Daphnia pulex: one gene and its partner. The protein of the gene in region 1 interacts with the protein of each later gene in a biochemical or structural test. Links are inferred from orthologs where the notes say so. Each region holds a gene or a part of one and is shown on either strand. Other genes may lie near its edges. The genes, in order: wee1-like protein kinase and putative peptidyl-prolyl cis-trans isomerase dodo.

What was found.
Region 2: the proteins of wee1-like protein kinase (region 1) and putative peptidyl-prolyl cis-trans isomerase dodo form a complex in vitro, tested with the Homo sapiens proteins (2 studies listed by BioGRID, with this or other methods). The link is inferred for Daphnia pulex from reciprocal best matches to the Homo sapiens genes WEE1 and PIN1.

The regions. Positions count from the first base shown.
Region 1 is NC_060025.1:7,991,564-7,995,915, forward strand, and holds the start of wee1-like protein kinase, read left to right. Parts: upstream 1-1,304; 5' UTR 1,305-1,894; exon of another isoform or gene 1,895-1,968; 5' UTR 1,969-1,988; coding exon 1,989-2,391; intron 2,392-2,480; coding exon 2,481-2,592; intron 2,593-3,299; coding exon 3,300-3,414; intron 3,415-3,520; coding exon 3,521-3,648; intron 3,649-3,714; coding exon 3,715-3,922; intron 3,923-3,989; coding exon 3,990-4,304; intron 4,305-4,352. UniProt on the Homo sapiens protein: Acts as a negative regulator of entry into mitosis (G2 to M transition) by protecting the nucleus from cytoplasmically activated cyclin B1-complexed CDK1 before the onset of mitosis by mediating phosphorylation of CDK1 on 'Tyr-15'.
Region 2 is NC_060017.1:4,463,165-4,466,159, reverse strand, and holds putative peptidyl-prolyl cis-trans isomerase dodo, read left to right. Parts: upstream 1-1,568; 5' UTR 1,569-1,733; coding exon 1,734-1,785; intron 1,786-1,872; coding exon 1,873-1,967; intron 1,968-2,041; coding exon 2,042-2,371; 3' UTR 2,372-2,466; downstream 2,467-2,995. Other genes in the region: tudor domain-containing protein 7A-like, read left to right, coding at 3-531, 601-638, 720-900, 964-1,087, 1,159-1,188; glutamine synthetase-like, read right to left, coding at 2,859-2,995. UniProt on the Homo sapiens protein: Peptidyl-prolyl cis/trans isomerase (PPIase) that binds to and isomerizes specific phosphorylated Ser/Thr-Pro (pSer/Thr-Pro) motifs.

The DNA of each region.
Region 1 (4,352 bases):
GTTGTTTTTATTTGCTTGTAGATTTAGCGAACTAATCACGAAACAGTCACGCACGGATCACGCTGTTTGTCAATGGACGCCCCTATCAACAGATGACGTTGGTCTTTTTTGTGAAAGTGCAATTGTGCAAGACCCTTGCAATTATAAAACATGTTCAATTTCGGTTACACTTGGAATAATAAATTTAAATATTCGCCCTATTTACTGCTTTGGTCAAGGTTGATATAGTCTCGAGGTTGATTTTATATCATCAAGTTATTGCGAGATAAAGTTTTCTCGTCCGTTGACAATAAGTGAACAATGTCTCAGGGACGTGGACGTTGCACCCCCAATACACAAGTGCATTACGATTCAAAGTGCCCAAGTGGTGTAATAAAGGGGGCAGGGCCACAAGGTGAATTGACAACAGGATTTCAGCCATCATGTCTTCAATGGCGAATAATAATCGATATTTAAAGGGAAAAATAATACATAAGAAATTATTGAATTTTCATAACGTCTAAAAGATGCTGGCCATGAAAAAAGATTGTTGTGAAGTCAAATCAAATGGAAATAGCCGTTGGCCCGAAGAGTTTTTGGCTGAAAACACGACACAGAAAAGAAATCTAGATATGAAAGGGTGAATCACCTATACCCCTTTTGCTGGCCTTTGGGATTCATATTTTTAAAGGTTATTGGCGAAAGGAGCACGGTACATAATGCCCAGTTGGCCAGGCAGCAGCACACACAAAACCCCCAACTGAACTCACCTCACTCAGGTATACGAAACAGTTAGGATTTCCCTGGGAGATGGATTACACGGTGTGAAGGGACGTTACCATAGTTCACTAGCCCATTTGTATATTCAGTGCGACTCAAAATCAGAGTGGATTATTGGGAGACATTTGAAAAAAATATATCGATGAATACTGGGCACACACACGTCCCCCCTATCGCAATTAGGCCCCTTGGAGTGTGTGAATGATGGTCCAGTTGAATAGACCCGATTAACTAATCCATCAAGCATAACAAGGCTGTTCAACTAGGTCAACGGTTTCCTCGATGATGCCCTTTTCCTTCAAGATATAACCCCTTGCTTCTTTGTTATAGCACGCGTTTTTTCCTCCTCCTGTTGTGTGCCAAGTTTGTTTACTTCTTTCGTACACCTTTGCAGGTAGAAATCGTAAAAATTCCCGTCACCCGTGGACCCGCTATCGCAGTTTGCGAACAGCAAGGTGCTTTATCCTTGTTGTGATACATGGAGCGCGAGCGAGCCACCCTTTAAACGCTTAAAGTTATTCAACCGTCAGTTTATGCTTCACACACTTTTATTTTGTCAATACGTTTATAGCTCAGGATTAGTTTAGTTAATAAAAAAAAACAGCACCACATATCAATAAAATTAAAATTACATTTTAAAATTTTATTTAAAATTTTGATTTTAACGACATTTTATAAGACATCATTAAATAAATGTTTTTTAAAAACATTATTATTAAGAATATTAATTTCAAAAATTTTTATGTTAATAAAAACAAATAAAATTAGAAATCGAAATATTTATTTTTCAAATGTGAAAGTAGCCAAGTTATTGCAGCTGTTTCCTGTTTTGTTGTGACGAAATTTGAATTTTTGTGCGGCCGGCGGCCATGTTGTGACGCATTGGGTTTTGGCGGGTAATTTTCTATACCGCATTGCCGCAAGCGCTTCCCATCCCTCGTTGTGGGCGCCGCCATGACAGTTGTACCAAAACACACGTGAAAAGGAGGGGAGCTGGCGTCTGGCAACGCTGCATCCGTCTATTACAAAAAGAATGGAAGCCACTGAAACGGGCAGTCATTTTTGAAAGCTCCACACAACTGTCGTGACCAGTGTTCAGATCAAGTCGAACAGTCTCGCGTCGCATCATTTACGCGTTAGAAACTTTAACTTATTTTTTTTCTCAAAGAGGTGAAAACAAAGTTCACTTTAGTGTGTTTCAATTTCAAGAGTCTGTTCAACGCGTCATCATGGATCGCGATATTGAAATGGAAGAGAACCATTGCCGCATAGCACAGCGGTTGGAATTCCCATTGAGTGACGAAGAAGATTTGCATGAGGCATCCTCGACTACCGACCGGACTTCTAGCAACATTTCATCAGATCGTCTGGACTCATCTGGAAGTGATGAAGGCCTTGGAATGACCATTCGGATAACCAGTCCTAGAAAGCCAAGGTTTCTTCGAACCAGAGCCAGAGAATCCATGTCTCCCCCTTACAGTGGAGTCCGGGCTCTGAGGTTGTTTGATTCCCCGGCAACTCCCAAAACTCTCCTGGAAAACAGTTCAGCTATGATTACTCCAGTTCTAGCTACGCCTGCACCAAGGAACAGGATGAGGACCCTATTCAACATGAGTTCTGCAAAATCAACTGGTAAGAACCATACATCCAACATTGTGTTTATCTTTTCCCCGTTTTCTATGATTTCAAAAAATAACTTTATTGAATGTTTTCTTCTATAGATAAAAAAGACAACTTGGACACTCCACCTGCTGCCAATGTCAACCCATTTACACCAACTGGAATGCTGTTGACTAGCAAGAAGAGAACCAGATCTAAACGAAGTCTCAATGGGTAAGTTCTTTTGCTGCACTTCCCTTATTTCTTCATTTCTCTTTCACTCTGGGTTTCTTCTGTTTATATAATGGCTAACTTTAACGGAAAGCTTCGCTGAAAATACGTGCCGGATGGAAGATGTCCTTTTATAGACACACATTTTGCATCTATTAGCCTTAGCGATATATGGTGATGCGTTCGCAGTTGGGTGACTCATATATCCCAACCGGTTATCAGTAATTCAGTGGTTGTTGCATAACCCGAAGCGTTAGTTTGAATTTTCCTACCATGCAAAGTTTGAAAGTAAGACATTAATCCGGTTTTCCTTGAGATTCGGAGAAACATTTCTAAACCATCCCATTTCCCTCAATCTGTCAAGGACGCATAACATTTCGCAAGGTTGATTTTCTGGTTATGCAGTTACAACGTATTTTTTGGTGAAATTTCCGTAGACTCTAAAGAAAGTGCAGTTTTGACTTGACAGCCCAGGTTAAGATGGGGGGGGGGGACTCTTAAATTGTGTGCAACGTGATATGTTTATTGGGAACAATAGAGGGATTTGTCCCTCGTTTTTTTCCTCCCAAGCCTTTTGAGTTGAAATGGCAGGGGTGGGTGGAGTAAGCCTTCGTTTCAATTATCTTGTTCTACCGGGTTCCAAGACTTCGAAAAATGAAAACATGTTTTTTTTCCCCATAAAATCTAATTTAATCTATTTGCTGTGACAGGTCGTTAGTGAATTCCTTTGACGAAGAGGTCCATGAAGCAACCGATGAATCAGACGAAGAATTGCCCCCGAAAAGGATTGCTCTGCATCAAACTAGTGTCCCCAGATACCACAAGGTACAGTAAAATTCCCAAGGAGATTTGGGTACACAACCCCTTTTTCCGTGTGCCACGTCGAACCACATGGATCTAACCCTTTTTTTTTATTCCTAAAAAACATTAGGAATTCCATGAGATCTGCCTGATTGGAAAAGGAGAATTCGGTTCAGTGCACAAATGCCTTAACAGGCTCGATGGATGCACCTATGCCGTCAAGAAAAGTTTGATGCCAGTAGCTGGATCCCCGAATGAGTAAGCATCAAGGAATGTCCTACCTTTAAGCCAATAATTAACATTTGTTTTCTTCTCTTTTTTTAGACGATCTGCTCTTAACGAAGTATGGGCTCACGCAGTCCTTGGCCAGCACCCTCATGTTGTTCGCTATTATTCGGCCTGGGCTGAAAATGGTCACATGATCATTCAGAACGAATTCTGCAATTCTGGCACCCTCGAAGAATTGATTCGCACTAATCAGCAAAACAATGTCATAGTCAATGAACCGCAATTAAAATCGACATTGTTGCAGGTTGGTTTTATTCTTTTCTATCCATTTCTGGCAGTAGTTAATTTATGTCTTGTTATTTTTCTTTTAGATTGCAGAAGGATTACATTACATTCATTCCAAACAGTTGGCCCATATGGATATCAAGCCGGGTAACATTTTTATCTGCCGTGAGAATATCGACGACTGCTCGGTTCACCACGACAGTGACGATGGATTTGACGAACTTGATGACGATTACGGATCCGTGACGTATAAAATTGGAGATTTGGGTCACGTGACGTCGGTTGTGCAGCCAATCGTGGAAGAAGGCGATTGCCGTTACTTGCCCGTCGAAATCCTACAGGAAAATTACGACAATCTAGCCAAAGCTGATATCTTTTCCCTGGGTCTTACAATCTACGAGGTAATAATCCACTATCGAATCATCTCTTTTCAGTTCATTACTTAACTG
Region 2 (2,995 bases), on another chromosome or scaffold:
AGGGTGTAAGATTATTGCTGCTGCAAAGATGGTTGAAGAGACCTTAGAGATACCAGAGTATGAAATCGACACAGTCTACTCTTTGACTTTGGTTGATACAACAAAGGAGAAAGACATCCACGTCAGTGATTATTTGATTGAAAGTGGATTTGTTTCGCCTTGCGAAGAGGAACAAATTGCTGTTGCCTCCGCAAATTCTGTTTATGAATATTCCACGCCGTCGCCTCCAGCTGAACACACCGGTAGAGCGCCTTCACCAAATCCAACTGAACACACCGGTAGAGCGCCTTCACCAAATCCAACTTGCGCGTTTCCCTCATCGGCAGTAAATTCAGTTACAAGCCAGATGCAGACAACAAGCATTTCGATTACGACACCGACCCTGATTTCAAATAACGAACATCTTGATTTCGAGAATCCATCAATAGACGAAGAGGTATTCAATGAAAGAATTTCTTCGAATATCCAGCCTGAAGAAAACGTGATTGCCTCGGTGAATGAACCCCTTCCAGTCTTAGCATCTGAAAGAAGGTAAAGAAGCTTATTTTTTTTTAAATACTTAAACTTGATTTCAAACTCCATTATTTCGATTGTTTGCAGTTTGGAGGCGAATGAGTCAAAATGCGTCGATGTAATAGGTAAATCCCCATTGAACTATTTCGCTGTTTTTGTATTTTTTTGAAATTTCATAATTCTATATTGGATTTAAATGTCATCAGTTTTGAAAGACGAACGAAGGCTATATACAGTAGAAGATGGTGGTGAATTGTATCTTCCTAAGCCGGACATCTTAATGCTCATCCCGAGTCTGGATAGTCAAATTGCCGCCTTTAAAGCAAAGATCGACTGCAAAGTAGTCACTGCCGAAACGCATCCAAATATCTTTGCCGATTGCGCGAAGTAAATATCTTTAGCCATAATTTTACATGATTTAAAAGAAATTCATCTGATTTCGTCTTATAGGGCTGGGGCACCTTGGATGAAAGATGATTCCTTATCTGAACTCACTCTTTATTCACTGCAATATGTTTCTCTACTGTTCTTCTTGTGTTCGGTGAAAGATAAGGTTGCCTCTTCAGCTATTGAGGTAATTTATTGCATCTAAGTTATCAAATAATTAATAAAGCATGTATTAACATCATTCTTTGATGTTTGTAGGCAAAGCGAAAAGAATTCAGCAATAAGTAAATAAGCACATTTTTCTTTTTATGATTTTCATTGAGTGCTCAAGTTTGAGCAATTAATTACCTTCCAATTCTTTATTTTATCTGATAAACAAGTATTTAAACCAGGAAAAATCAGTTTTTATAAAATTGAATCAAAACTGTCATTGAACAAAACATACTGTCCTAATTTTGTAATTTACTTGTATTGTTTACTTTCCGTGCAACAATAATACAGAATGTAAAAAATGAAAAATTTATGAATTAAAGATGAAAATTTTCTGTAAACTAAAACGTCTTTTGTAAATTCAAATTGTATTGTAAAATCAAGTTCAAATTTGAAATTTATGTTAATGAAGAAGTGCAAGTGCTGCCACCTAGAGATATGCTACCTAGTTACCTACAGTATCTCCTTCTCTGGACTGTTCTTTGCTGTCAAAGTCAAATCAAGCCGACAACTTTGTCGTAGTTTGAAAACCATACATACTATTGTCGCTATTTTATATTTAATATAATTCGTCGTGTGCACATTTCGCAAAGTCTCTATACTCAGTCAACACCACCATCAAAATGTCTGAAGAATTGCCACCTGGTTGGGAGAAACGTGTAAGCCGATCGTCAGGTAATATAGTCATCTTCTTTAATGCAATTAGTAGCTGGAAACTATTGTGATTTTCGCTTTTATTTATTCACTTTGTATTGATTGCAGGAACAAGTTACTACTTGAATATCTACACCAAAGAGAGTCAATGGGATGCTCCAACTAAACCAGCAGAGCGTGCTTCATCAAACGGCCCAGAAAAGGTTTGTTTTTATAAATAATTCTCTATTACTGTCATCAAACCAAATTGTAAACTAAAAGTGTATCTCTTAATCAGGTTCAATGCAGTCATCTTCTTGTCAAACACAGGGATTCTCGTAGACCATCATCATGGCGGCAAGACAACATCACCATATCTAAAGAAGAGGCTATGGATTTGCTAGTTGTTTATCAAGAGCAGATTGTTAATGGTGAAGCTTCGTTTGCTGAATTGGCCTCAAAATACTCAGACTGCAGTTCAGCCAAGAAAGGTGGAGATCTTGGTAGTTTTGGTAGAGGAGCAATGCAGAAACCGTTTGAAGATGCTGCTTTTAGCTTAAAAGTTGGTGGAATGAGTGAACCTGTGTGGACTGATTCAGGAGTTCATATTATTCTTCGCACTGCTTGAATTACATTTTTCTTTTAATTCTCTTTTTACTAGAAATTTTGGATGTTTTCGTCTATTGCATACCATACCCTTATACAACATTATTATTGCAAGTATAAATTTGTTTTTTACAATTTCTTCAACTAATTTAAGAAAACACATCAAGGGTTCAGAGTTTAGATTATCTAAAAATTTTTGTATTTACCTGACATTAAGTTTGGTAACACATACTGCATATTTCATGTTTGCTTACTGATGAATTTCAAAATTGCCAATCGATCAGATTATTTACACAAATCGATAACGTCACATAGGATTAAAAAGGGAACGACCACAGAATGAGAATATTAAAATTAGAGGGGTCAGATTACAATTTGGCGATAATCGATAGAACGTGGTAGTTTTTTTTGTTGTTGTTGTTTTATTTTTGCGCCTTCGGGACATAGAAGGAATGGATGGTTTACTCTTCTTTATGTGAAAAATGGGACCTAAAAAATATCAGGATAGTCTATTGTTCGAGACAAGTGGTGCGGACAACCACTTCGGTCACTTGATATGGATCAGAGTTGGAAGCCGGACGGCGATCTTCCAAGTAACCTTTGCGTTCTTCAGCCACTCCACGAGGCACGCGAATACTGCAACCGC